Rattus norvegicus: one gene and its partners. The protein of the gene in region 3 interacts with the protein of the main gene of each other region in a pairwise test. Links are inferred from orthologs where the notes say so. Each region holds a gene or a part of one and is shown on either strand. Other genes may lie near its edges. The genes, in order: Meox2, Ccdc33, Pin1, Zbtb9, Gli1, Cep76 and Jakmip2.

Region 1 (3,500 bases), on a different chromosome or scaffold from region 3:
AAGGATGGCTTTGAATAGGAGACACTGGTAAATATGGGATAAACAGAAGCTTAAGGAACCCTTACAGGATGAAGTTTCTTCTCATTGTTTTCCTGGGAGCATTTGTGCCACTCTGAAGAACCCTGGGTTAGCTGATTAGAAGAACAACTGTCTCAGAATAGCTTCAGGCAGTATTTAGCACTGGATCAAAGACTGCAGTTCCGGGATGGGTATAAGGAATGCTGGGAAAACCATTCAAAAACCTAAATACACAAACTTGTAAATAAACTTGGGGCTGTTTGTGAATTTGCATTAATATTTGAGATAGTTTATTACACTGAAAAAGCAGGCTGACTTGAAATTAAAGTGATATCGGAAAAATATGATTTTAAAATAGGACACATACATAGTTGTTGCATATAACTCAATACATCAAGTCAGTTAGGAAAAAAGAACAATTATTGAAAATACCTTCCACATTTCTGTTAGTTTACAGAACCTCTTTTAAAATTAGTTTGCTCTTAGACAAGTATGGTTTTCTCTGACCAGACTGTAAAAGATGATAGGCCATCACTATGAATAAGCAGAGAGCTTTGCTTTTGCTCTTGGCGAGAGCTCAGTACTATATCCATCATTGTGTAGACGGGATGTCAACCCGAGTTTCCAATTTTCTAAAACATGGGGGTCTTTCCTGGAATCCATGGTTTCTACACAAACTAATGTGTAATTTTGCCCCTTCTTTAATTTTCTGTTCCCAGATGAACACATAAAAGGAAATCAGCTCCCTGAGGATATAGATTTGGATTCTGCTTCCTGAAGTGCCAAATGCTACACTCACAGAGGAAACTTTGTGTGCGCTTCAGGCAAAGAAACTGTCGTACTCCAGAGCTCAGGACCCAGCCATAATATTTAATAAAATATGAACTGCCAATAAATAAAACCACATAAAATCTTCCCTTTGTATATTTTCTCTAACCACAAATAACCCACAGAAGCTGAAATGTAAAAATTAGCAGAAAGGAAGAATATGATTTAAGAAATTAGATAAAATTACTTGCTATCGTAAGGCATGCAGTCATTTGTCCACACCCTGTTGGTATTTTCCTGGACTCAGTGGGACCTCTGGAGGAGGAATGTACAGGGAGAGAGGAAGTAAAACTCTTGCCCTAATAGCGCCTGGTATCATTTCACTGTTCCTAAAGATGTTTGCATTTGCCTTTCGGGGATGTTACTCTAACTAGCCAGACTGTTAACCATCTGCAGGCTGCATTCTCCCAGGGTAAACATGCATTTATACAGGGGCTACTCCCTGAGTGCTCACAGAGCAAGTTATTTTCCATCCAAATAAAACCCAGTAAAGGCATCTATCTATAAAGCAATTTATCTCATTTTGTTCTTGTTAATTGAACACATGGATCATTACTGCTCAAGGTATTCTTTGAGTCGATAGTAGACTATTGAATTCCTAGAAAAAGAGCATCTTTTTAAAGTATTTTGATTAATAGAGAGTATTTTCTAATGATCTATGTATTTTTGCTGCCAACCACTACCCTGCCTTTTGAGCATATGGTACAACCCTGACTATTTCAAAATGAGTGAGAGTAAATGGAGAGGTTGGAGTCATTTCCAGATGAACACATTTCAAAGTCAGGGACCTGCCAATCCTTTATCACCTCCTGTGGTTAGCAACAGCACCGCGTGCCGAGAATCCAAGGTCAGCGAGCTCTGGATTTGTAAAACTTGTGTAGAAAATAAACCATCAAGAGTTGTTTGGGTACTTTTTTATGCTATTTAGTTTTAAAGGTTAATGTTCTATTGCAACAGGACATGGCCTATCCTGACCTGTACAGACAACCAACCTTTTATGACACCAAATGAGGAGCGCTTAAATATAAACACAGGAAGTAGTTCACCATTTGCCCACATTATTTAAAACAAACCGTGTTTTTAAAGTAAACAGAGTAATATCAACATCAGAGAGCATTCCTTTTTAAAACTCAGCAAATGCACCTTTCATTCAAATATCTTTTTAAATTGTTTCTTCATTTAGCTGATCAAAGGTTTAATCATTGAATAATAAAGACTTCTAATTGGTATTAGTAAATCATAAATCTGGATAATTCAAACGGTAAAAGAAAATTGCTGAGCTATAGTGAAATAAAAATCCATGCAATGAAGACACCCACTTTACCTGTCTTTCAGTGAGGTCTAGGTTCACCGCTATCTCATATCTTCTCAGTCTGGTCAGATAGTTATGATGGGCGAACTCTGCCTCAAGTTCTCTGATTTGCTCTTTGGTGAAAGCTGTTCTTTCCTTCCTAGGTTTGCTGTTCACTTCTGACTTGTAATTTCCTTCCTGGGAATCTGGGGGGAAAGTGCAAAAAGTGTTAACACAGTTGTGCAAACGTCTGGAAACATACTATTTACAGTTACTGAATAACTACTTCTCCAAGTGCTTTGCCAGACATGACCAACAGTGAACAAAGCCAGTAAAACAGATCTCTCTCTCTCTCTCTCTCTCTCTCTCTCTCTCTCTCTCTCTCTCACACACACACACACACACACACACACACACACACACACACACACAGAGAGAGAGAGAGACACACATCTCCACAGAGTGAGATAGGTCTCTCTTCTTTCTCCCTATCTCTCTTTCATTCAAATATCATACATTAAATTTTGTCATTTTGTTGAACAAAAGTTTAATCATCAAATAGCAGACACTTCTAATTGGTATTTACATATATATATATATATATGTGTGTACATATATATATATACATATATATATATATACACACACGCACTTTCTGGTAACTCATTACATAATTGGAAAAGTTCTTCAAACATTTATAAAATATGAACATAATTTGAAATTCTAAAATGGTACTGTGATAATAAAATAAACCAAATCATCATCAGAAAACCATTGTAGAAATAAAATGGAAACCCACTAGAGAGGACATTTTAAGGTAAATAATTCTGGGTTGACCCTTGCTCAAATCTAAGCTGACCAGATGTGTCTTTATCAGATCAGCAGCCGTAGCAATGGGCTCTCACCAACATCTTGGCCCGTTAGGTACTCCCTTTACTATAATAGGTCATTTAGTAGCTTTCCCTGGCTGGTCATTACTTCTGACCACTTCTTCAAGTTGTCACTTTCCATATTGGCTGCGATTTCCCTCTAAGCTGGTCAAGGAGGAGTTTTCAATCCAGGTCAAAGAATGTTTTGTGACACATTACTCTTTAGGATGCCACTGGAAGTAAATGAACTTATAACAGTTGGCAGTTCATTGGTAGGCCTATGGACATGATGTTAACATACCTGGCTCCAAGTAGAAACTAGAGTTCACCAAACACTTGTTTTTAACCCACATATTTTGTCAGTAGCCACACTGTTGTAACTTTGAGCTCTTCTGGGATAATCTAAATAAAATTTCCAAGTAACCAACTTTTCACCCTATGGGCTATTCTGGCAGGCCACAAAGTCACATCATGGAATGTTTAGCTTTGAAGTC
Region 2 (3,500 bases), about 40 Mb from region 3:
CTTCACCAATTCTTCTGAGTGCTGTTTCTCTTTCTAACTATCTGTCCCTAGTTGCTCCCCCACCCTCTGGGGACAGACTTCAAATGCCCAGGCTGGTAACATTCCCCTAGACCATCCCCATCCCACACTGAACACAGCCTAGGCACTACAGACAAGGGCTTGCCCCTGTGAGGTCAGGCGGAGCTCAGTCCTGGCATGGGTTACCACACAGCCAGGGACAAGACAGGTCTCTCATTTGCACAGGAGCTCACTTTCCAAATATTCATCAGATGGTTTCTGTTTGCAGACCCAGACCCAGTCCTACCTCAGTTTTCCCAGCTACTTACACCACCACGTAGGGCCACGGTTCAGAGCTATCCTTGCAGGTAGGAAGGTTGGTAGCTCCATACAGAGTGACCATGACAGTCTCCTTATTACAGGGAGCCAGGTAGTTGGTGTCAGGATATGGGTCCAGAGAGGTATCCAGGCGGTCCTGTGGTTCTTCAGGAACCTGTGGGGAAAGCCAGGGCTAAGTGGACTCTTTTGATGGAGTATTTCTCTTTACTGTTACTGGTAACTTCTACCAGGTGGGTCAAAACTTTCCATGGTATAATTTACAAAACAAAACAGAAATCATGAAGAAATTTCATAAAAACTGGTGTGGTGGTGCACACCAGCCCTCAAGAGGCAGGAGCATTGGAAGGACCAGAAGTTCAGGGTCATCTTTGGCTCCTCCGGTTTGAGGCCAGCCTGGGCTACACGAGACCTTGTTACAAAACTACAGACGTGTCAGTGAGTTAGCTCAACCTTTGCTGTGTGAGCCTGATGGCGAGAATTGGATTGTGGGAACCCATGGTGGGAAGTTAATACTTCTAAAAATGTTTTCTCTGGTCTCCACACGCACGCCGTGGCACGCACGCTCTTGCACTCACCCACACGTATACAATAATAGTAAATAAAATAAAAATGATATGATTGGAAAATACAAGGTTTACATTTCAGATAAGCCTATGACTTTGTGTTTAGCTGTGTTCACAGACAGTCTTGCCTGCAGGAGTCTGGATGTGGCCCAGGGCTAGTGGCTGGATAGGCCCGACTGACCAGTACCTTTTCCTCTCTGTAACATTACCTGCTCCCCCAACTACAGAACAGTAGCCTAGGAAGCCATTTTCTCTCTACTTCTGTACTTCTCTCTACCTCTTGCTTCTTCCTTAGCCTTTGGTGTGCCCCCGTGTGCAGCAGAAGTCAGCCCACCTTAGTTTGTAAGCAATCTGTCTGTCCTCCGGTTTCTGCTCCTGCTTTTACCTCTGTAACTCCTCCGTGCCACATGCTCCTCAGGTCCTAGTGACCTCTACCTTTCTTCTTTCCTATATCTTTACCTTAGACCACCTCTGTCATCTCACATATGGGGACTGGGACCTGACATGATGCACCACTCTGCCCCGCCCTCCTGACTCCTAGCATGGGAAGAGAAGGCAGCATGGCTTAGCCCAGGTACATCTAGGAATGCTACTTCATTCAGATTCTCAGGACCATTGTACTGCATGGTGAGCGCAGCAGAAGCCAGGCTCCCTTAATCGTCCTAGCAGCCCTTCCCCACCTCAGCCTTTGTCTGGTATTTTCATCACCTGGGCAGAAATTTCCAAAAGATTTCAAACTCCACATCCCCTGACCCATCCCTCACGTGCTGCAGACTGTGGTCCCTGCCTAACAAGTTGTCTCATTAGGAGGTGAGAACAGGGCTTCCCAGCCCTAGATGTGCCAGCTCTGTAGAGACTTCTCCCCTTCCTATGACTGAGGATTAAACCTGCTCCCTCCCCCAACAGGACCCAGCAGGGCCTGTCACCATCTGCAGAGGTGTTGATGAGAGTTAACTCCCCCCCCCACACACACACATGGCAAGGGTAGGGGGAAGGGAGGGGGGAGCCCTGCTAGTGGAGGAGGGGAGCATTCACAGACCAATGCCTCTCCTAGATCAGAGGACTTCTTCTAGTGTACTAGCCCACATAACCAGAGGTCGCCTAGCAGGTTTGTTTTCCTGTTCTGGTACAGGAGTGACAGCAGCTGACAAGCCAGGAGGCTCCTCTGTCCCTTCTGAGATGCGCCGGCACAGAGCCGTTTCCCTGCACTCCGGTGGGAGCATCTAGAATGATTTCTGATTCAGCTTTTCCAGGACTTGGTGTGACTAAAGTTCTCTGAAGTTAGACTAGGAGAGGTAACTGATGTCCCTTGTACTGCCAGATGGACACCCTTGCCACTGCGAGGGCGCAAGCCTACCGTGGCACTCTAGGGGGGGCGGGGGTTACAGAAGCGAAGGTCCCTTAGCATGATCGTTGTCTATGGGCTTCCCTGCCTCCTTGGCAGCTCTGGAGGCCACCAGGCCTCTGCCAGGTCCTCCGATTGGATCTCTTCCTTCCCCGTCTCCTCCCTTTCAGGACAGATTTCCAGGAAACATAGCTTGGAGAGAGTTGGGTAGGGACACTTGTGCTTCACTTGTGTGCTTGAGGCCAGCTGTTAGTCAGGTACCTCTTGAAGCCTGTAGGCATGTACCCCATGGATGTACTGGGTGGGGGTCCAAGGTGTGGGTTGTAGAGGGGACAGGCAGTGAGCCAGGGCACCTTTGCCTCTGTCCTTGCTCGTGGGTCCCTGCATCAGGACCAATGTGTTCTGCTGCCTCTGCCCCTGGTCACATGGAAGAATTTGTGAAGGAATAGGATATGTATCTACCGATGCCGACACCTATACCTACGTATACTAGGTTACAAGGTGAGGAGAGGAGCTGGGGCTGGACAGATGGCTCAGTGGTTAAGAGCACTGACTGCTCTTCCAGAAGTCCTGAGTTCAATTCCCAGCAACCACATGGTGGCTCACAACCATCTGTAATGGGATCTGATGCCCTCTTCTGGTGTGCATGAAAGCGGCAGCTACAGTGTACTCACATACATACAATAAATAAATCTTAACACAACAACAACAACAACAGCAACAACAACAGCAACAACAACAACAACAACAACAAAACAGAAAACAAGGTGAGGAGAAAACTGAGTGAAGGTGCTGACCCTGGGCAGAGAAGCTTCAGAATCTTCTTCCATGAAAGCAGAGCTCTATGCTCACCACAGCTCTCAGGCCCTGCTCTTGCTCACCCATGCAATGACTGTAGACAGCAGGCTAGTGGTAAGCTCAAAGCCTGCCCATTTCCAAGCAGAGTTCCTTTGGCCACCCCTTAGGATTTGGGCTCTAGGCAGGCTTGAAAACTGCTGATCTCAGCGCATCATGGTGTCCTTGGGAATCCCAGAATGTTCTTTGCTTGGGTCAGCATTGGATGTGTGAGGGAGCATGAGAGCAGGAAGGGAGGAGCAGCAGACAAGCCAAGGCTCACAGAGGTGGGGGTGGAGAGGGAGGTACAGGGAGTGGGCTTCTGGCAGAGACCAGGATGAAACCAGACTCTTCTCCCATTCTATTCCCTCTTCCCAGAAACCCGGGAAGCAACAGGAAGCTATGAAGCCCAGATCTCTCCT
Region 3 (4,184 bases):
CAAAAGGTAGAGTATAACTGTTTTTACCCATTGCTTCGTTCCACAAAAACCCAGGCAGCACCTCCCCCTCCTCTGCTCACAGCAGCAGCAGTTGTGTCTTGTGCATAAACAGAGAAAGTTACTCCAAAGCTCCAGTCTTTTTTTTTTTTTTTTTTTTTTTTTGGTTCTTTTTTTTCGGAGCTGGGGACCGAACCCAGGGCCTTGTGCTTCCTAGGTAAGCGCTCTACCACTGAGCTAAATCCCCAGCCCTCAAAGCTCCAGTCTTAACCCCTGCACTGGTAGCCTAAGTCAGAGAGCAAGGGGTAGCATTACTCAGGGCCTGATGTCATCTGAGTGGCTGTGAGGGCATAAAGGAGACAGATGGAAAATCAAAACCTCAAGGGAAAACTCTGGCTTAGTGGAACATGCTGTTTGCCTAGCACTAGGGAGGCTGAGGCAAGAGGATGGATGTCTGCAGATTGAAGCCAGTAAAAGTAAGTTTGCAAGACGGACTCAAAAAAGTGAAAGGTAAAAGAGGAGGAAGGGGTATGGCAGAAGCCTGAAGGAAGGACCCAGTAGATTCTGGGTCACTCCAAGGGCTGAGTCTACCTGGGTTACACAGCTGATCTAGCATAGGAGAAGAGCTGGATGTTACCCATGAAGGAAGGGCTTTTCATAGTCCTACTGAGAACAAATGACAAGCATAACTAAGCAGAGGGGCAGGTATAGGGGTGTGTGTGTGTAAAAGAGTTTCACTATGGGGGCTGGATAGATGGCCCGGAGATTAACAGCACCATCTGCTCCTCTATTGGACTGGAGTTCAATTTCCAGTACCCATGTGGAGGCTCACAACTGTCTCTTCAGGCTTCTTGGTGGGCACTGCATGCATATGGAATACACATGCAAGCCTAATACCCATACATGTATTTTTTAAAAAAGTGTACGTAGCCCAGGACAACCATGAACCAGATCTCCTCCTGCTTCTGCCTAAGTGCTGGAAATACAGCTGTGTGCCACCACACCCAGTTAGAGACAAGTTTATGCTAGAGGTCACAACCCCACCCTAGGAATGGAGCAGCCCAAAGCCTCTGGGGATAAATCCAACTAAAACCTTTGTCAGGTCACCTTCCCTGAACCTCAGCTTTCTCATCTGTAGACTGGGACAAGAGAATAAGGACATCAGAGCATAAAGGCTTATAACTTTAGTCCCAGTGCGTGAGAGGCTGAAGCACAAGGATCATGAGTTGGAAGCAAGCTTGGGCTACACAGCAAGACTTTACCTCTGTGTGATGTAATCCCAGCAGAACACCAGAGGTTCAAGGTCATCCTTGGATAAGTATCGTCTGAGCGCTCATGCTCGCTCTTGCGCACTCTTTCTTTCTTTCTTTCTCTCTCTCTCTCTCTCTCTCTCTCTCTCTCTCTCTCTCTCTCTCTCTCTCACACACACACAAACACACACATCTTAGAAAGGAAAATGGCTCAATGGGTAAGTGCTTGCAGCCAAATCTGACGGAGTTCACAATCTACTCATGGTAGAAGGAAGAAAACTCTTGCAAGTTAAGATTGTCTGACCTTCACATGCACATACATTAAATACAGTATTACTAATATTATTAGTAAAGATTGTTTCAATAAATAAATTGGGCAAAGTGGTGCATGCCTGTAATCTCAGCACTTGGGGGAGCTGAAGCAGGGGGATCAGGAATTCAAGAGTAACCTGTCTTTATGAGGCTCTGTCTAATGCCTTTCCACATCCACTCTTGATAAAAAGGTGGAAAGTGAATGACATTAAACCTAGCTGGGTTCAGAGAGTTAACATATGCAGTGTCCAGAACCTTGATGCTTAATAACTAAGAATTTTGAGTGAGCTCTGTAGGTTGCATTGACCCTGGCTACCTGAAATGCTTGTAGGCTACTCTAGGCGTTGCCACTGACACTGGGAAGGGGACATTTGAGATCAAAAAAAAAAAAAAATCATTGCAATCTAGGGCATTCCCAGTGACTGAACTGCATTATCAGATGAGTTCTTTCCATGTCTGGCCTCAGTTTCTCCCTCTTGAAATATGAGAGCAATTCCTTTCTTGAAAGATGGTAGCAACCGGGGTGTGGGGGGGAGGAGAGCATGAACCAAGAAAAGAGAGGGAGCGAGGGAGGAGGGAGAGGGAGATGGAGGAACAGAGGTGGAGGTGGGGATAGGAGGAAGAGGAAGAGTGGAGAGGTGGGTGGGAGAGAGAGGGAGGGGTGGAAGGAGAGAGTGAGAGAAGGCAGGAGGGAGAGGGGGAGGGGAAGCGGGAGCACACACCGGCGTAGACTTGTAAAAGAACTGAAGTCTTTCAAAGAGTTTGGCACCATGCTTGACCCAGAGACGAACTGTCCTGGTTAGGAGCCATCACTGTCCCTGGGTCCCGATAGGGGGATGAGCGGGCACGTGTCTCGGATGCTGCCCGAGAAACCAGAGCAGGGCGGCCCACGCCCTCTGCACCGAATCCCGATCTTCCTCTCAAGGGAACTCCGAGGTGCAGACTCGTCGCCTCAGAGCACCGGGGCCCAGTGGTGGGCGAGAACCGGGGCGCGCCTGTGCCTGCCCCACCTCCTACCTCAGTATCTGGCTTTCCGGGCCCGTTATGCCGCGGAGGAGGCCAGATCTCCATGCCCGAAGCAGGACGGTGATGCGACTCGCCTGTGCAGGCGAGCTCAAGCCCAACTTCCGCAACCTCCAGGCCTCGCCCCGGGCCCTGGGCGACCCCTAAGAGGTACCTGAGCTGCGACTCATACGCTTCTCCCACCCGGACGGCAGCTTCTCCTCGTCCGCCATCTTCCCTCCTGCCGCAGCGCCTGCTCCGCCTCCGCGGCTCTGACCCCGCGCCAGACCAGCGCCGCTGTTGATTGGCTCATCCAATCGAGACGCCAATTGGACGGCAGCACAACGCCTCGAGCTCTCGAGCCTTTTATTGGGCTCTCCCGCGGCCTCCTGGACCACCCCTACACACACCCTCCACCCACTACCCTCACCTTCCCAACACCGCTACTGATTGGCTCGTCTGGAAGCTACGTCTATTGGATGCTCCAACCCGGCAAGCGGCTCCCTTTAAGCGTCAAAAGGGCGCTCCACCCTTTTTGGTGCGCTTAGCCGATAAAATAGTGCTTATTTGACTGGCTCCTGCGGCAGCCAATCCGGCCTTCTCAAGCCTTTCTCGGAGGTCCGCCAGAATCCACGCGGAAGTGGCCAGCTGGAACTAAGGTACATGGGTGCTTTTGCTGTACTTTGCCGTTGCCATAGCAATGCAGTTGCCTTGGTGACAAAAGGCTAACTATTCAGAGCCTAAATTTGGCTTTTGAGTTCTTCTTCCCACCTTTTCCTCCAGATGTCCAAAGCGAAACCAGTCCTTTTCGGTTTTTGCAAGGCGAACCATTTCACTGGTTTATTCACCCACTTTCCATGTCTTTTTTAGAACCTACTTCGACTTATTCCTTCTCCATGGGCTCCTCCTGACTTCTAGGCAGGTGACTGATGGGTGAGAGCATTACCACTAGACCGAGGAAAGGGGGTAGGAGAGGGTGGGCGGCTCCAACGACCGGTTTTAGTCAACTGGTAGTCTGAGGAAAACGGTGTGTTAATGTATACCTTCAATCCTAGTACTCAGGAGGCAAAGGCAGGCAGTTCTGAGTTCGAGACCAGCCTGCTCTACAAAGTGAATTTCAGCACAGCTAAGGCTACACAGGAAACTTGTCTCAACAAACGAATGAACGAATCAAAAAAAAAAAAAAAAAAAAAAGACAGCTAGAGAGATGGCTCAGTGGTTAAAGCACTAGCTGCCCTTCCATTAGACCTTTCAATTCACCAGACCTGCATGTGGTACACATTCATACATACATGCAGGCAATTCATATATATAAGAATTTTAAAATGTTACTTTATGCCTAGTGCTGGTGGCAAACGCCTTTAATCCTACACTTAGGAGGCAGAGGCAATCAGATCTCTGAGCTTGAGGCCAGCCTGGTGTACAAAGTGAGTTCCAGGACAGCCAGAGCTACACAGAGAATCCCTGTTTCAAGAATTTTTAAAAAATCACTTTAAAAAACTATTACATTTATAAGGGATACCGCCATGAAAGCTGTGTAATCAAGAGGACAATTTGTGGCAATCTGTTCTCTCCTTCCACCATGGGGTTCTGAAGGTCAAACTAAAGTTGTCAGGCTTGGTG
Region 4 (3,984 bases), on a different chromosome or scaffold from region 3:
CCCTGGGAGCGCTGTAGGCCAGCTGCCACCTCTTGAGTTCCTGGGTCACATCTGTCATTGTGATTAGTGGTAGTGAAAGACAAGGTGAAGGCCTCTGAGGGAGGACCCTCTGCGATGGGCTTTCAGAGTAACCTGTGAAATGCTCAGTTTGCTAAAGTGCTCGAGTACTATTTATCCCCCTCAAGATAGGGTCTCGCCGAGCGCAGCCCTGGCTGGCCTTGAACTTGAAGAGATCCACCTGCCTCTGCCTCCCATGTGCTGTGATTAAATGTGTGCAGGACACTTGCTTCATGTTCAAGTACTTTTTTTTTTTAATGTATGAATGCTCTGTCTGCATGTACGCCTGCAGGCCAGAAGAGGGCGTCAGATCCCATTACAGATGGTTGTGAGCCACCATGCGGCTACTGGGATTTGAACTCAGGACCTCTGGAAGAGCAGTCAGTGCCCGAGCCACCTCTCCAGTCATTTTTAAAAGGATATTTGGGAAAGGTGTCTCCTGGTGAGAAAAGAAAAGTACAACTTTAAAAAGCTTCTGGAAAGAAATGACAGAAAGTACAGAGTCGGGATACCGTTGACAGTGAGGCAGAGGCCGCTCAGAGCTGAGTCTGACAATTACTTGAGCTCTGAATCAAATGTTTTCCTAGTTGGAGACCAGCTCCCTCACCTCCTCATGAAGATGAGGATAGAGTTACTGGGTCATTTTGCTCCATCTCTTCTCTTGCTAATATAACCTGAGGTCAGCAGTTCCTTCACTGGCTATCAATACAAAAAGGGCCATTCCGGTTGAGTGATCAGAAGCATGACCTTCCTACAGGACTTCCAAATATACCAGGGTGAGGCCCATCCCCAAGAGTAAGGGGTTCACAACATGACATATATAATCTCTTGGAAGGACCACACGATCCAGGACTGAGGTGGTGGAAGGTAAGTCCGTCAGCAGCAGTGGCTATCTTGTCCTAGAAATCACTACAGAGCATCGGTAGTCATTTGTAAGTCCAGTGGTAAGTGGGCCAGCCCTGGCCCTTGCATAAGTCCCGGTGTCGAAGGAAGAAAGCCTGGACCCGGAACCGGCGGCCACAATGGGGACACGCGTGCAGAGCTCTGGCGTGGGTCTTCATGTGCTCTGTCAGATGATGCTTCAGCTTGAAGCGTTTATTACAGATGCCGCAGCCGAAGGGACGAAGGCTGAAGGTCAACATGATGTGTCGGTCTCGTTTCGGCTTGACTGCAAACCGTTTTCCACACAAGCAAGCAAAGCACTTTCCATCTGCAGGGGGTGTCCCTCCTAGCTTCACAGGCCCGTGCATAGCCTGCCCTGTTCCTCCGGGTCCTCCGCCCCCTGACAAGATTTCATTCCCATGGAGATCCACTGGTTTCCAGGATGGGTCTCCTGCCCCAGACGTCTCCCCTCCTCCTGAGGACAGCAAGTATCTTAGCTCCCCATTTTCCTCAGAGTTCTCTCCAGGCAGTACTTTGGTCTTTTCCTTTGCTCCTCCAGACAGAGTCCTGCCTCCTGATGTCTCCTCCTTACACTCGACGTTTTCCTGGTTAACGTATAAGATTTGGGAAGTTTGTACGGGAGGGGCAGGAGGATCAAGTGTTGAGTTCTCATCCTCTGAAGGTTTGCTGGGAAGAGTCGATGTAGGCAACGGGTGGGATCCGCAAGCCTGGGAAACCGCTCCTGACACTCTCTCAGGCTGAGGGGTCTGAAAGGGTGGGGCTGCTGACCTCTGCTCCTCTTCCTCCTCTACTTTGACCTGAATCTGTAACATTCCTTCTAGTTCACCCCCCTCCCCTCCACTGGGGCTCTCAGGGGCAGCAGAATTCTCTGTGGAAGCGGAGGACCGCCCTGGGTTCTGGAAAGGGGAAGAGCGAATGCACCAGCCTCCTGCAGATGTTGTGGAAAGAAGTGTGAGGCTGGAGGCTCCTCCACCAGATGAAATTCCACTGGACGTTTCTAGCTCTCGAAGAATCTCTGAGCACCGATCTACTACCTGCCACATCTGAAGGCCACTGGCCACGAGGAGATGGGCAGGAAGAGCATCCAATGGCAGGTGGAGGCTTCCTGAATAGATGAGCTGAAGCAGTCCCTCGAACGCATCTGCCTCGATGACATTCGGTAAAGTGAGTCGGGGCGCATCCCCCAATAGCAGCTTGTCATGGAAGTAAGGAGAGGCAGCAGCCAACACTGCTTTGTGAGCCCTCAGTTCCCTGCCCTGAACCAGGAGGGATACATCACAGAACTTTCCCTCCAGCCTATGGCGGTTCAGGGATTCCAGCAGCGAAGAGCTATGATGAGGGAAATCAATGTGGATTGTCTGTGGGGCTGGGTTACACCTCGGAGAAGAGGGTGCGGGAGGCAAAGGAGTCGAAGCATCCATGGCTACCTCGGAGGGAGAAATAAAACCCGTGGATGAAGACTGCAGAGGAAAGAGACTAGGGTCACACAAGTTCGGGGTATGAGACCTGCCTCAAGCCGCTCCCCACCGACACTTGAAAACTCTTCAGTGACAAGTTTCTGTGTATTAGTTCCGCCCACCAAGAAACCCAGCAAAACACTAACCAGGGTTTTCACTTCCAGGCCCAGCGGAAGCCAAGTAGGGAAGGGATGGCGCCCCGCCTCGCTGGCTCAGTCGCCCTCCGCCGCCGCTCGCCCCTCCTCACCTTGCTCGGACAGGCCGGCTCCGCGAGCTCCGGCCCCACGACTTCCCACCGACACGCCCCCACCGCACGCACGACCGCGTCGGAGCTCCTCGCATCCACTGCGCCTGGCCGGCCGGAAGCTGCCGCAGTTCCGCCGGACGCCACTGCAGCCAGGCGCGGAGGGCCGGACCTGGTTTGCAGCCAATGGGAGAGCGGCGGCCTACAAGACCTCTCCTCATTGGCTGGTCAGTCGGAGGGGCGGGGCTTTGGGCGGGCGGGCTGCTGGAGCGGCGGCGAATGTTTTCCGGGATGAGCGGCCGATGAGGAGGGTGGTTCTGCGGGTTCTGGGGTGAGGGGAGTGACTGGCTCCGCAGCGCGGTGTGTGTATCCCCCCGACTCTTGCCGCGCGAGGTAGGAGATGCGGCTGTCCTCCGCGTGCACGTGGGGCAGCCAGGTCAGAAGTCTGGAGCGCACACATGCTGAGCACCCCGGGTTCTTTCCTCCATTTCGCAGACAAGCGTCCTCACAATTAAACCCTATGTCGAGAGGGTTTTGCACTTGGAGTCTTTCGGGCGTTAAAAGCCGGTTCCCAGCCTCAGCGCCTTTGGGTCGAGTGTCCGGCGGGTAGAGAACGGGGGTAGGAGTTTCACCAGAAAGGCCCTGCCGTATATAGTTTTCCTGACTCGAGCAGTGTGTAGTGGAAGAAGACATGATTTTGTTTTACTTTTTCTCCCCCAAAGTAGTCCCTGTCAGCCTTCAGGTGGTTCTGGAGACCCCAGGCTAAAAAATCAGCCCCCCCCCCCGCGACAGACGCTTTTTTAGTCCCAGGAGGCAGAGGCAGGCGGATCTTGCTAGTTCAAGGCCACCCTGGTCTACAGAGTGAGTTCCAAGACAGCCCAGAACCACACAGAGACCCTGTCTTGAAAAACCAAAAATAAAAGTCAGCCCAGCGATAAAAGAACAATCTCCGTTTATTAAACATGATTTTTCTGTTTCACCACACACTCCAGAAAAAAAAAGGGAAATGGACCCGGGAGTGGGAGAAAAGAGGGGGTGTGGGGGGATGGGGGTGGGGACCAAGAGTCTGGGAGCAGGAGCAGAAAGGAGAACGAGTAAACAAACAGCAAAAAAAATGAGTAAGAAGATCTTCTCCCTACTCTTAAGGTGGTGGGTGGGGAAGGAAATGAGGGGTGGGGCTAGGGAGCCAGGAAGCTCTGTACAGAGGGGTCGCCTCCCAGCCCCCCACCCCAATTATGTACAGTACAAACCCCAGATAATTACAACAGCCAAAGAGGAGGGAGGAGGTCCAAGGGTAAGGCCTGATGTAGGGAAGCAGAGGAG
Region 5 (3,335 bases), on a different chromosome or scaffold from region 3:
GCCGCGCTGCCTGCTGGGGAGTGGTCACTGCTGCAGGAGGATTGTGCTCCAGGGCTCTGCTGAGGCTGTGAGGAGAATGAGAACAGAGAGGGTGGCAAGCGCCCCCAAGAATTCTCTCTTGGTGAATGGCTGAAGCCCAGTGATTGCTGAGAACAGGCGTGGGCGTGGGGGTGAGGGCAAGAGGTTAGGGTAAACTAGAAGGAACTAAGATGACCCCACTGGAGCATAGAGGCTCCATTCCTGAGTAGTCCTACAAGCCTGACAAATTTCTCCTTGCCTGCTTCCTCTTGTTAAGAATATACAAAATAGGGGGCTGGAGAGATAGCTTAGTGGTTTGCTCTTCAATCCCCAGCAACCACATGGTGGCTCACAACCATCTGTAATGGGATCCAATGTCCTCTTCTGGTGTGTCGGAAGACAGTGACATTGTTTTCACATACAATAAATAAATAAATACATCCTTTTAAAAAATACACAAAATAGGGGGGCTGGAGAGACGCCTCAGCAGTTAAGAGCACCTGAGTTCAATTCCCAGCAACCACATGGTGGCTCACAACCATCTGTAATGCCCTCTTCTGGTGTGTCTGAAGACAGCTACAGTGTACTCACATACTTAAAATAAATAAATAAAATATTTTTTTTAAAGTACACAAAATGTGCACGCCAAAAGCTTGGAACTACAAAGTGTTATCTGAGAGCAGGTCCATAGGGGCCTGAAGATTTACTTAGTGTAGACCATTTGCCTGGTTTGTATCCCCAGAAGCACCTCCCCGACAATATGTTGGACCAATTAAACAATTGATGACTATAACAGCTTCAGATTTGGAGTCACCCACGGAGCAACACTGAAACTGGAGGCAGGCAGGTTGGGGTGGCCACAGAAGACTGATGTGTACAGGAAGAGATAGATGCTTCGCTTCTAGGGAAGGGCTAGAAAGACAACAGCAGAGCAGAGCAAAGGCTTCCAATGGCTGGCTCACCATGGTGCCCTCCGGCACAGTCAGTCTGCTCTCTTCCCTGCCGGATCCTCCTTCCCTTTCTCGCTTGGGCTCCACTGTGGAGAGGGGCTGTGCCCGTGGTAAGGGGCCATCCCCTCGATGTCGTTTGGTCACGTGGGCATCCGGACCGTGCACAGTCTTGACATGTTTGCGGAGCGAGCTGGGATCTGTGTAGCGCTTGGTGCAGCCGGGGAGTTTGCACACATATGGCTTCTGTTGAATAGAGAGCCAAGCTGGAAGGCCAATGGACCAAAGCAGATGAACCCAAACAGAACGGGGGAAAGAAAGCTCCGAGGCAGGTGAGTGAGGGGGACACACAATCCCAGGAAGTAAGGAGGTGGGAGCTCTGAGACTAGTGAGGGCGGACACACAGCATCCTAGGAAGTAAGGGGGTGGGGGGCCCTCAGGTGGAGGAAATCCCGAGAGGCTTATAGGAGGCTTAGGTAAACAAATAGAAGTGACCCTCAAGGCTGTGAGGCCATGTAAATTCAGAAGCTGAAGGGAAGGGGTCGGGGTCTACTTTAGACTGACTCTTTTGCCGGTTAGTGTGGCAAGTGGGAACTGGTTTCTTACCTCTGTGGAGAGAGCCCTGGGTTAAAGGGGCTCTTTATGGGGGATACTTTGGCAGTAGCCAAAAGTATCGGATCGGGGAGTATATCTCAGTTTGAGCTCTCACCTCATTGGAGTGGGTCCTATTCTGGTGCTTGGCACGGTCACTGGCGTTGCTGAAGGCCTTGCTGCAGCCTTCCTGCTCACACATATAAGGCTTCTCACCGGTGTGCGACCGAAGGTGTGTCTTCAGGTTTTCGAGGCGTGAATAGGACTTCCGACAGCCTTCAAACTGTGGGATGTGAAGAGGCCAAGGGTGTTCTCAGACAGGGCATGGAGGGTTAAGGATTTAAACCAGGGAATATAAATGGATGGGGACCTTGGAGAATCCCAGGATTAGGGCACAAGGACAGACAGGAGCTAAAAGCAGAAAAAACTGGAAACAGCACAGGGTGAGGGACGGCTGTGAAAGTAGTGAGCATCTTGGAGCAGGTCACCCTGCACAGGGATTAGATGGTCCAAGAGTGGGGTCATCTGGGGGCCAGGCTTACACAAGTGTCTGTCATTAGTGCAGGACCTATCCACTAGGCAACGAAGTAACATGAGCACTAGGTGATTAAAAATGTTTATTATTATTATTATTATTATTATTATTATTATTATTATTATTATTTTGTGTATGTGACTATGCTGTAGCTGTTTTCAGACACACCAGAAAAGGACATTGGATCCCATTATACATGGTTGTGAGCCACCATGTGGTTGCTGGGAATTGAACTCAGGACCTCTCTGGAAGAGCAGTCAGTGCTCTTAGTCACTGAGCCAACTCTCTAGCCCCTATTATTTTGTGAGACAGGGTCTCACTGTGTAGTTTTGCTAGCCTTGAACTCACTAGGTAGACCAGGTTAGCCTCAAACTCACTGAGATATGCTTGCCTCTGCTTTCCAAGTGCTGGGATTAAAGATGTGCAGCACAGTGCCCGGCACATGTTTTCATTTCTTTTAAAATTAAAGGGGGCTGGGCAGTGGTGGTGCACGCCTTTGATCCTAGTGCTTGGGAGGCAGAGACAGACAGTTCTCTTGAGTTCAAAGCCTCCTTGTTCTACACAGCAAGTTCCAGGACAGCCAGGGCTACATGGAGAGACCCTGTCTTGAAAACCAAATAAATAAATAAGTAAATCCATATCAAAGGGAAAATATGCTTTTTGATCCAAAATTTTATTTTGTTTTGTTGCTTATTTACTTATGAGATCCGGTCTCACTGTGTCACCCACCATGGCTAGCCTGGACCTCATCATGTAGAGCAGACTGGCCTTAGATTCACAAAGACCTGCCGGCCTTTGCCTCCTAAGTACTGAGATTCAGGGTGTGTGCCACCAGGCCTGTCTTGTTTTGCGTTTGTTTGGTTATTTGTTTTGTTTTTAAAGATTCGATTGTTTTTGTCTACGAGTACTCTATCTGCATCGTCATCTACATGCCAGAAGAGGGCATCAGACCACAGGGTAATGAGCTACCATGGAGTTGCTGCTGGGAATTGAACTCAGGACCTCTGGAAGAGAAGACAATGCTCTTAACCACTGTTTTTGTTTTGAAACCTAGCTTCAAACTCTTTTTTTTTTAGCTTCAAACTCTTGATCTTCCTGCCTCAGCTTCACAAGTGCTAGGGCCAAGCCTGACAGCCTGCGTTTGATCCCTAGGACCTACACTGTGTAAGGAGATAGCTAAGTCCTGCAAGTGATCCTCTGACCTCCACGTACACACCTTGGAAAGCAAGCCCCCGCCCCCATAA
Region 6 (3,957 bases), on a different chromosome or scaffold from region 3:
TAAAACATGTAGACCAGACTGGCCTTGAACTCAGAGAGCTCTGCCTATCTCTGCCTCCTGAGTGCTGGAACGGGATGCCAAGCCTGCCTTTAAAAAACAAATCGATACCTTAAATAAGGCTAAACTTCTTTTAAACCCCATAGAGCATTTGTGTGAGCACAGTGGCACATGTCTTCACTTCCAGCACTTGGGAGGCAGAGGCAGATGGATCTGTGAGTTTAAGGCCAGTCTTGGCACACAGTGAGCTCTAGGACAGCCAGCATAATAAGAGTACTGCTGCTGTCTTCTGACACACTTGTGATGCCAGAAGAGCATCAGATCCCATTACAGATGGTTGTGAGTCACCATGTGGCTGCTGGGAATTGAACTCAGGACCTCTGGAAGGGCAGTCAGTGCTCTTAATTGCTGAGCCATCTCTCCAGCCCGCCATGAACTGATTTTTAAAAAGTAACATTTATGCAGCAGAGGCTGTTAATAGGTCAGTTTTTAATAACAAATAGGTTTGCAAACCTCAAAACCCAAAAAAGGATAGTGTATTAAAGTACCCAACTCTCTGGAGTATTATGAAGTCCATTCTATTTTTAGTAGAATATTACTCTTATATTGAGGTCACAGTTTTTCATTATTGCCTCATTTTCAAAATAAGGCCTGCCTACTTAGTGCACTGGGAGATATCCCATTACTGACCTATTTGTACAGAGAAATGAGGGGTTTTATGTCGCCAGCTCTTTTCTTACGGAATTTCATGAGTGTATCTGTTTTAAAACAGACCTAACCTAAATAAATTAGAGATCGAAGGAATCTGACACATCTGACAGAAGTTTCTGTCACGTCAGAGAAATACTGTCCAACAACTCCTATCTTATGATCTCTGTTAGCCAACTCACGGTGGGGCCAACTTAAACACTCAGAAAAGGAGCCAGGCATTGACTGTGGACACATGCCTTAGTCCCAGCACTCGGGAGGCAGACAACAGGAGATCTCTGTGAATTTGAGGCCATCCTTGGTCTATAAAATGAGTTTCAGGCCAGCCAGAGCTACACTGAGAAAACCTGTCTCAAAAAAAACCAAAAGCACCAGAGGGCAGAACATTATGGAGACGGCAGAGATGACTCAGCAATTTAGAGCACTCGTTTGCTCTTCCAGAGGACCTGAGATCAGTTCCCCCAATATCTTGATGGTGGCTCATTCCAGTTCCAGAGGATCACAGGCCACCCTGAACACTGTGGGCACCAGACCAGCATGTAGCCAAAACAGCCATACACATCAAGTCTTCTTAAAAATCTAAGAAAAATGGCTATTACCAGAGAATGAACTTAAGGTGGTTTTAAGAGAAGCCACAAGTGTGGACCCTGTAAATTGTTAGACAGAGGCAAATATTTTACACTTTCAATTTGTTTAACCTAGGAAATTACTCACAGTCACAAAATTAAGCTCTTTCATTACATCATCAATGATTCCTCGACGTCTGAGAGCTTTGATCAGATCTTCTGTTGATAAATGTTGTTGGTCAGGTGCTAATTCTTCTCGTATAGTCTCGGCAAGAATTTCTCTTATTCTGCCATGGACATCCATCTGTGGAGAAAACCCCACATTACAATTTACAAAATTATACCTGGTGGTGATGGTGCATGCCTTTATTTCTAGCACCCGGGAGGCAGAGACAGGTGGATCTCTGGAGTTCCAGGCCAACCTGGTCTATAGAGTTCCAGGACAGCCAGAAAAACTACACAAAGAAACCCTGTCTCAAAAAACAAAACAAAACAAAAAACCCAACAACAACAACAACAAAAAAAAACCGCACAAAAACAATTTACAACATTATAAAGCAGTTAAACGCCACTTGTAGATTTTAGGCTTCTGAAACTAATGGCAAGTGCCCAATGCCAATAAAATTGAGCTTTTTAAGTGGTGGAAGTTTTGAGCAACATACTAGAAACAATCTGAACTGGTTGGTTATCAACCTTTATTGCTGGTTGCCCGCAAATGATTCAATGAAAACAATTCTTAAGAGAGGGAGTGGAGGACAATCAAAAGAACACAGACCTAGAAGGAGGCAGAACAAAGAGCGAGTTATTTCAGCCTTCTCACTTATTCAACTTGCAACTCTAATTTGTCCGTCTATCTCCTTGCCCATCCGATGGAAAAGCGAGATTGTTTTGAGGATTCGCCAAAAGACGCTAGAGACGCAAACACCGGCGCACCAACACACCATAAAGAAGCTTTATTACTTCAGCTTACGGCCAGCAGTCGGGCGCTGCTGCTGGGAAGTCGCGGTTCTCCTGAAAGCCCCGAGCCGGGTAAACGCGTTCCTTGTCAGTCATTGGAGCGCCCTGTCTCCCATAACTTACTGCGATCGGGCTTCCAGGCGTAAAGAAACCCTAAACATCTGGCCTCGGACTACTTGTACATGAACATCTGGAAAGCGCCCGGACCGCCTCCGGTTTACAGCGGCTCTCCTCCACTCTAGCTAAAGAGCCTTCAGCGCTCCCTCGGGTCACACGCCCAACCGAAGCTTGCCCGCCGGCGCCCGCTCCACAGCCCTGGCTCCGGTCCCGTCCGCCCGAGCTCCTCACCTTGCTCAGCTGCTGGTGGATGAGCTGCTTCAGCTCAGAGGCTTTCTCCGGAGGCAGCGACATGCCGGCACTGGCGCCTCCCGGCCGCTACTCTCCGTCTCACACGGTGCAGCCACGGAGCCCGTCGTCCCGGCCGCGCAGCATCGGTGGCGGGCGTAGCACAAAGCGCCGCGGCCGCGTCAGACCTGGCAGGGCGGGAACCCTGCAGCCGCGGCGCCACAACTAACTGTCTTCAAACCGGGCGGACTGACAGTCGCCGGGGCTGGCCTGCCAGCTGCCTGATCGACGCGGTCCAACGCGCCGCCTCCTCGCGGGTCCCGCACGCGCGGTTCCCACGTCCTCTGTCGCAGGGCCTCGACCTACGACCCCGGGGAACGCCGCCTGCCGAGCGTTCGAGCCTCGTTCAGCACTGAGCGCAGGCAGTGCGTCGGACGCCTACAGGACCCGAAGGACCCGAAGGACCCGGGCGGATCGCGAGTTCCGCCTTCTATCCTAAGGATAGGTATCCTAGCTGTCCCGGACAGCGCTCCAGCTTCTCTTACGCCCACTGCAGTCATGTTCGTTCCCTGCGGGGAGTCGGTCCCCGACCTAAAGAACTTCACACTCCTGATGGTGAGTCTCCACTTGAGTTGGCGCTGTCGCCACCCCGACCCGGGAAGCGCCACCTGGCCTTAGGAGAGCCGGGCACGTGTTTCTGCTTCAGGCTTTAAGCCTGAAAAAAACAAACCAACAAACAAGTTGGTTATCCTTAGAGGCGGCGGTCCAAATTAGCACATTTGTCCGCTCTATCAAGGCCTGCCTGCTAGCTGAAGCCTTCGTTGCCTGGCAACTGTAACGTTTGTACATTGCAGATACATTGCACATAAGTGGCACCGGGGGAATCCCTAAGTTTTATCCGTTGAAGTGTTTTTATGTAGTTTGGGTCCGTGTTGATCTAGGCAATCAATTGCATTAGAGAGCAGATCGTTGTCTAAAAGGCAGTAGTAGAATTGTCCTTGTTTAGTCATCAAGGTTTACAATATAGCTAGAAACACGTGCATATACTAAGAGCATTAAATAAGACAGAAGTTTGAAAAAGAGAACGACCTGAGATTACCGACCTGCGGAAGTCTGGGTGGGAGTGGTTTGACCAAGATTGTATTCCCAGCATTCCAATCGTGAGGCAGGAAGCCCCAGCCTGAAAGACACCTATCCCCGCAAGAAATAAACAAATCAACAAGAACAACAAAGCTTGAGGGGAGGGGGCTAAAGAAATGGCTCCGTAATTAGAGCCTGTGTGGCTTACAGAGGATAGAATTCTTACATACTCACAATGAATGGCTTATAACTCCAGGTCCAGGGTCCCTGACACCCATTCTGGCCAAAGAGAATATCTGAACCC
Region 7 (4,125 bases), on a different chromosome or scaffold from region 3:
GTATTCTCTAAGATTTACAATGTTTTCAATTTTCAAATTTAGAAAACATGAAACTTTTTAGAATACTCGCCATTTGGCCACTACGGCCACTACCATCACCAGCCATGACAACTATCATGCATTTAGTATTTTCTCTTCTACCTGGAATTGTTATATCCTTCCCTTAAAGCTTTTAGGTTAAGTGATGTCTACAGTGTACCTCTCTACAACTCTCGCTAATAATAGTAAATACTTACTGTGTGCTTACTACATGCCAAGGGCTTTTAGTGCATTATCTCAATCAATCTTTACAACTACTGCCCGAGACAAATTCTAATGCCATCTATAATTTATGACTAGAAACAGAACTCCACACTGCACATTCTCTAGATTTTCTCCTACCTACATCCCTGAATGACAGCTGGCTCTGGAACTCCAAAAGGGCATCCATGAAAACAGCACGCATGGAATTGCTTGTGAATAATTCTCGTTCCAGGAGTCTGAAGCCGGATAGGTTTGGAACTGTCCACTGTCTAGTGCTGCTAAGAACCGTAGTTGTTCATAGGCATTTCCGGTTTGTTTTGTTCCAACTTCTTTTTCCTCAGAGGTGTGGTCAATATCGCCAGGTGCTTTTCAGGAGACAACTTGCAAAATTGGTGGAATCAAATCATCTTAGAACGTAAAGGAACGTAGCAGGCACCAAGTATATTGCAAAGTCCAGCAGGTTTTGCTTTGTTTGTTTGTTTTAAATTAAATGTGGCACTGAGCAAGAGATGGTATCAAGGATGTACAACTTTGGAGTCAAAACAATCTCACACATAATTATTTTTAGTTTATTTCTTCCAAGTGCAATATATTTTATCTAAAATCTATAAACAGTACAAATAAATGTCAAATATATTTCAACCTATAACTTAGATGCAACTTTAACTGTTCTTTCCTGGTGCCTTTTCACCTTCGGCGCCGCTCAAAGCCACCTAGAGCTTAGATTAGGAGAGACCAAGAGCATCTCAGAGACAGGGACTTAGTTTTACTCCAACCCCTGCAGCTTGCTTAGCTCCTCTCCCCTCCCCCTTAGCTTGCCACTTGCAATTGGCTATTGCCATGACAACCAGCAGCTGCCAGGCCGGCTGCTTCTACCGCAGCAGGGGTGGGGCTGTGGGGGTGGGGAGGGAAGGAGGAGCCTGAGGAGGTGTCTGCTGCAAGTTCCTGGCTGATTCTGAGCTCACACCATCCTCCAAGAGGGAGGAGGCTCAAGTGATGCTGCTGCTGTTGCCGCCTCTACTGCTGGTACTCTAGTGGAGCTGGGAAGGGTGGTTCCTATCGCACCATCGCCAACCGGAGAGGGAGGGGGAAAAAAATCCTGGTAGCCGCTGCTGATGTTGGGTTCAGAGGCTGCATCCGACCCGGTCACAAGAAAAATGGATTCAGTGTGCGGCTCTCCCTCTTTTCAGCATCTTCTCCTGCTCTCAACATGGTGAGTAGGAGGCAGAGGGGCTACCTTCTTGATCTAGCTGGCTGTTAAATGACTTTTGTATATATCTGTGGCCTAGACTTAAACAATGACTCGCGTCTCTCAGACTAGGAGGGGGGATGGGGGTGTGGAAACAGCGATGAGGATGGAGAGAGAGGAAGGTTGTCTGTCGGCAGAGAAGTGAGAAGGAATCCGCTAGTCTTTTGAGGGGAAAAGAAATGATGTTTTGATTTTTATCACAAACTAGCTAGAAATACTAACTGAACCGCCGGATTCCTTTCCTCTCAAGCTTAGCAACAAAATCAGAGGGGTGGAAAGGAGCAAGCAAGAAGAGGATATAGTTGAAAGCAATCGTTTCATTTGCAGGTCTCGCAAACAGGGTTGGGCCTTCCCTGAATAACACATTTGGTGTCTCAACCTTGTTGGCCTAATTATAAGGTGGTTTTACTTATTTGCTCTAGTCTTAACGTGGTCCCAGAATTAGGCATTCTGTTTCACACTTTAACATATTCTTGTTGAAAAGCCATTTCCGAGATCCAGAGTTGATTTTTCAGGATATATATTTAATTATGAACATACATATCTCCATGTATACACATCATATGTGCACATGCTATTTTGCAGGTGTGTTGCATTTACGGAACCTATTTCTATGCCCAGCGTGCTTGATTTACTATCATTTTTATGAGTTATTGATGCCTTTGCATTCTTGGAAGTAATTGCATGTTTTAGGAAACAGACTTCTGGTTTGTATTATTATTCATTGGCTTCATTTGGATTAATGTGAAATTTATTCTTGTTATTGTCCCTTAGGTTCATTGTAGCCAATTAGGACAGATGCCTATCGCTTCTCTATTAAAGAACTAGATGCCAATTCATAGCCTGGCTGTTTTTAATTGGGTTTGTGGGCCTACGTTAAGGGCCCCAAATTTACAATGATGGGAAAGGGAGGTGGCTTGGAGTATTTTCTAGCATATTGCATCGTCTCAAATAAATGTTGAAACAGATAGGTTTTCTTGAAATTCTAGTCTATCTCTTCCATATCTGTATGGTGTGCTCCAACCAGTACAGCTGGAGTGGCAGGTGAGAGGCATTCATTTTACTTAATTGTATAGATATTTGTTCTTCATTCCTTCAGTGTCCATCACCATTTTATAGCCCTCTCAGAATGTTCTGTTCTTGGGTAGCTTCTCTAAGTGATTAAGTAGGAAGCAGGATGGTTTTTTAAAAAAAGAAAAAAAAAGTGTTCTCAAGGACCCCAGACTGAATTAGTCTGCTCATACAATGCAATGAGCGAGAGCAAGCAAAGGAAGGCAAGCAAGCAAGCTTGGCAGGAGGATGTGGCTTGTAGCTGAAACAGGCTTGTAGTTTATAAATGCTTACTGGTATCTGTTTGACCTTTTACTATGCTAAGGCTTTAAGGCAGCTCAAGAGACTAAAGATGCCTGAGATTGGAATGTATAAGGTTCCATTACCACCTAGGATAATGGATTTCATTGAACTAAAGCCAGAAAAATCCTTTCAGGTAAAAATGTATTAGCAATATTACAAGCATCAAATACGTGAACTGTGTCTACCAACCTTCCCACCATCACTGCTATCGAGGATGTATTTTAAGTCTAAAATTATAGATTATTTTCATATTAATCTTTCATTTTATATTACATATTTATAAAATTTACCTCATTGGATCTTAGTTCTGTTTTCTGAGATTTATTTGGTTTACAGATGCTTAAGCGACTTAATTTAATATGCTCATGTATTATGTCTATTCACAAGTCTAAATTCTTGCCACCATGTGCCTAATTATAACAACTCTATAAATTAGGTCAAGGAAGTAGGTACTGGACTTGTATGTCACTGCAAAATGGATGTATACCGTAGTATACAGATTTCAGAGTGTATTACTAAATGGAACTTCATATTTCCTAAAACAAAAGTTCAAATATTTCTACAGTAAACTTACAAAAATGAAATATGCAATACAAAGCTGGACCTGTTCATAAATGGAAAGCAGGTACCCTTGCCCTTTGATTTACTTGCTGTCTGCTGAATTTGGATGTGGTTTTATGGGCAAAGTTGTTACAGATTGAAGTGAGGCTCATCACAATAGGTCATGGTTAGGAAACTCAGTGTTGGTAGTCCCATCCAATTATAGGTCCAGATGCTGTAGAATGACAAATGAACCAGAACTATGTAATCTGGAGGAGAGGAAATTGAGATATAAGTGCCACTTTCTTCACATAAGATTCTGCTTTCAAGTAGGACACTGGCAATTGCTACTTTGTGGAACCTGGAATGTGATCAATGGGCTTCAGCTTCACAGAAAGAATTAAGGTTGAATATACAAAGCATAGAAAGTCTTACAAGTAAGTGGTGTGGGTAGTCATGCACACCATTAAAGGCTACTAGGTTATGATCTGGATATGCTCTTGTCTGGGATGGACTATGTGTCTTCCTAAAGCACGGCTAACTTACTGGGGTCAGCTATCCTTTGAAGGGTTCAGATTAACTGTTAGCATTGGATACTTTGATATTTGTGCATATAGACTCCATTTTGTAATGTGCTTCTAATGATCAAATCTGGGTACTCTTGAAGAAGGTGATTGATGATATATCTGGAAAATTTATTTATGGAGTCTTAACAGGATGCAGGGATTTGCTTGATTTGC

Evidence for each region.
Region 1: the proteins of Pin1 (region 3) and Meox2 interact in binary tests that used the Homo sapiens proteins (3 or more experiments, as listed by UniProt). The two-hybrid records come from large-scale screens. The link is inferred for Rattus norvegicus from reciprocal best matches to the Homo sapiens genes PIN1 and MEOX2.
Region 2: the proteins of Pin1 (region 3) and Ccdc33 interact in a two-hybrid assay, tested with the Homo sapiens proteins (2 studies listed by BioGRID). The two-hybrid records come from large-scale screens. The link is inferred for Rattus norvegicus from reciprocal best matches to the Homo sapiens genes PIN1 and CCDC33.
Region 4: the proteins of Pin1 (region 3) and Zbtb9 interact in binary tests that used the Homo sapiens proteins (3 or more experiments, as listed by UniProt). The two-hybrid records come from large-scale screens. The link is inferred for Rattus norvegicus from reciprocal best matches to the Homo sapiens genes PIN1 and ZBTB9.
Region 5: the proteins of Pin1 (region 3) and Gli1 interact in binary tests that used the Homo sapiens proteins (3 or more experiments, as listed by UniProt). The link is inferred for Rattus norvegicus from reciprocal best matches to the Homo sapiens genes PIN1 and GLI1.
Region 6: the proteins of Pin1 (region 3) and Cep76 interact in binary tests that used the Homo sapiens proteins (3 or more experiments, as listed by UniProt). The two-hybrid records come from large-scale screens. The link is inferred for Rattus norvegicus from reciprocal best matches to the Homo sapiens genes PIN1 and CEP76.
Region 7: the proteins of Pin1 (region 3) and Jakmip2 interact in binary tests that used the Homo sapiens proteins (3 or more experiments, as listed by UniProt). The two-hybrid records come from large-scale screens. The link is inferred for Rattus norvegicus from reciprocal best matches to the Homo sapiens genes PIN1 and JAKMIP2.

The regions. Positions count from the first base shown.
Region 1 is NC_086024.1:59,632,525-59,636,024, reverse strand, and holds part of Meox2 (homeobox protein MOX-2), read right to left. Parts: intron 2,344-3,500; coding exon 2,171-2,343; intron 1-2,170. UniProt on the Homo sapiens protein: Mesodermal transcription factor that plays a key role in somitogenesis and somitogenesis and limb muscle differentiation. Required during limb development for normal appendicular muscle formation and for the normal regulation of myogenic genes.
Region 2 is NC_086026.1:67,406,986-67,410,485, forward strand, and holds part of Ccdc33 (coiled-coil domain-containing protein 33), read right to left. Parts: intron 491-3,500; coding exon 327-490; intron 1-326.
Region 3 is NC_086026.1:27,464,258-27,468,441, reverse strand, and holds the start of Pin1 (peptidyl-prolyl cis-trans isomerase NIMA-interacting 1), read right to left. Parts: upstream 2,801-4,184; 5' UTR 2,795-2,800; coding exon 2,737-2,794; intron 1-2,736. UniProt on the Homo sapiens protein: Peptidyl-prolyl cis/trans isomerase (PPIase) that binds to and isomerizes specific phosphorylated Ser/Thr-Pro (pSer/Thr-Pro) motifs.
Region 4 is NC_086038.1:5,058,132-5,062,115, reverse strand, and holds the start of Zbtb9 (zinc finger and BTB domain-containing protein 9), read right to left. Parts: upstream 2,801-3,984; 5' UTR 2,665-2,800; exon of another isoform or gene 2,564-2,664; intron 2,421-2,563; 5' UTR 2,382-2,420; coding exon 984-2,381; 3' UTR 1-983. UniProt on the Homo sapiens protein: May be involved in transcriptional regulation.
Region 5 is NC_086025.1:65,045,073-65,048,407, forward strand, and holds part of Gli1 (zinc finger protein GLI1), read right to left. Parts: intron 1,840-3,335; coding exon 1,675-1,839; intron 1,212-1,674; coding exon 981-1,211; intron 66-980; coding exon 1-65. UniProt on the Homo sapiens protein: Acts as a transcriptional activator. Binds to the DNA consensus sequence 5'-GACCACCCA-3'. Regulates the transcription of specific genes during normal development.
Region 6 is NC_086036.1:63,475,559-63,479,515, forward strand, and holds the start of Cep76 (centrosomal protein of 76 kDa), read right to left. Parts: upstream 2,801-3,957; 5' UTR 2,640-2,800; coding exon 2,577-2,639; intron 2,173-2,576; exon of another isoform or gene 2,047-2,172; intron 1,576-2,046; coding exon 1,420-1,575; intron 365-1,419; exon of another isoform or gene 142-364; coding exon of another isoform or gene 109-141; intron 1-108. Other genes in the region: Psmg2 (proteasome assembly chaperone 2), read left to right, coding at 3,132-3,188. UniProt on the Homo sapiens protein: Centrosomal protein involved in regulation of centriole duplication. Required to limit centriole duplication to once per cell cycle by preventing centriole reduplication.
Region 7 is NC_086036.1:35,995,883-36,000,007, reverse strand, and holds the start of Jakmip2 (janus kinase and microtubule-interacting protein 2), read left to right. Parts: upstream 1-1,325; 5' UTR 1,326-1,453; coding exon of another isoform or gene 1,454-1,456; intron 1,457-4,125.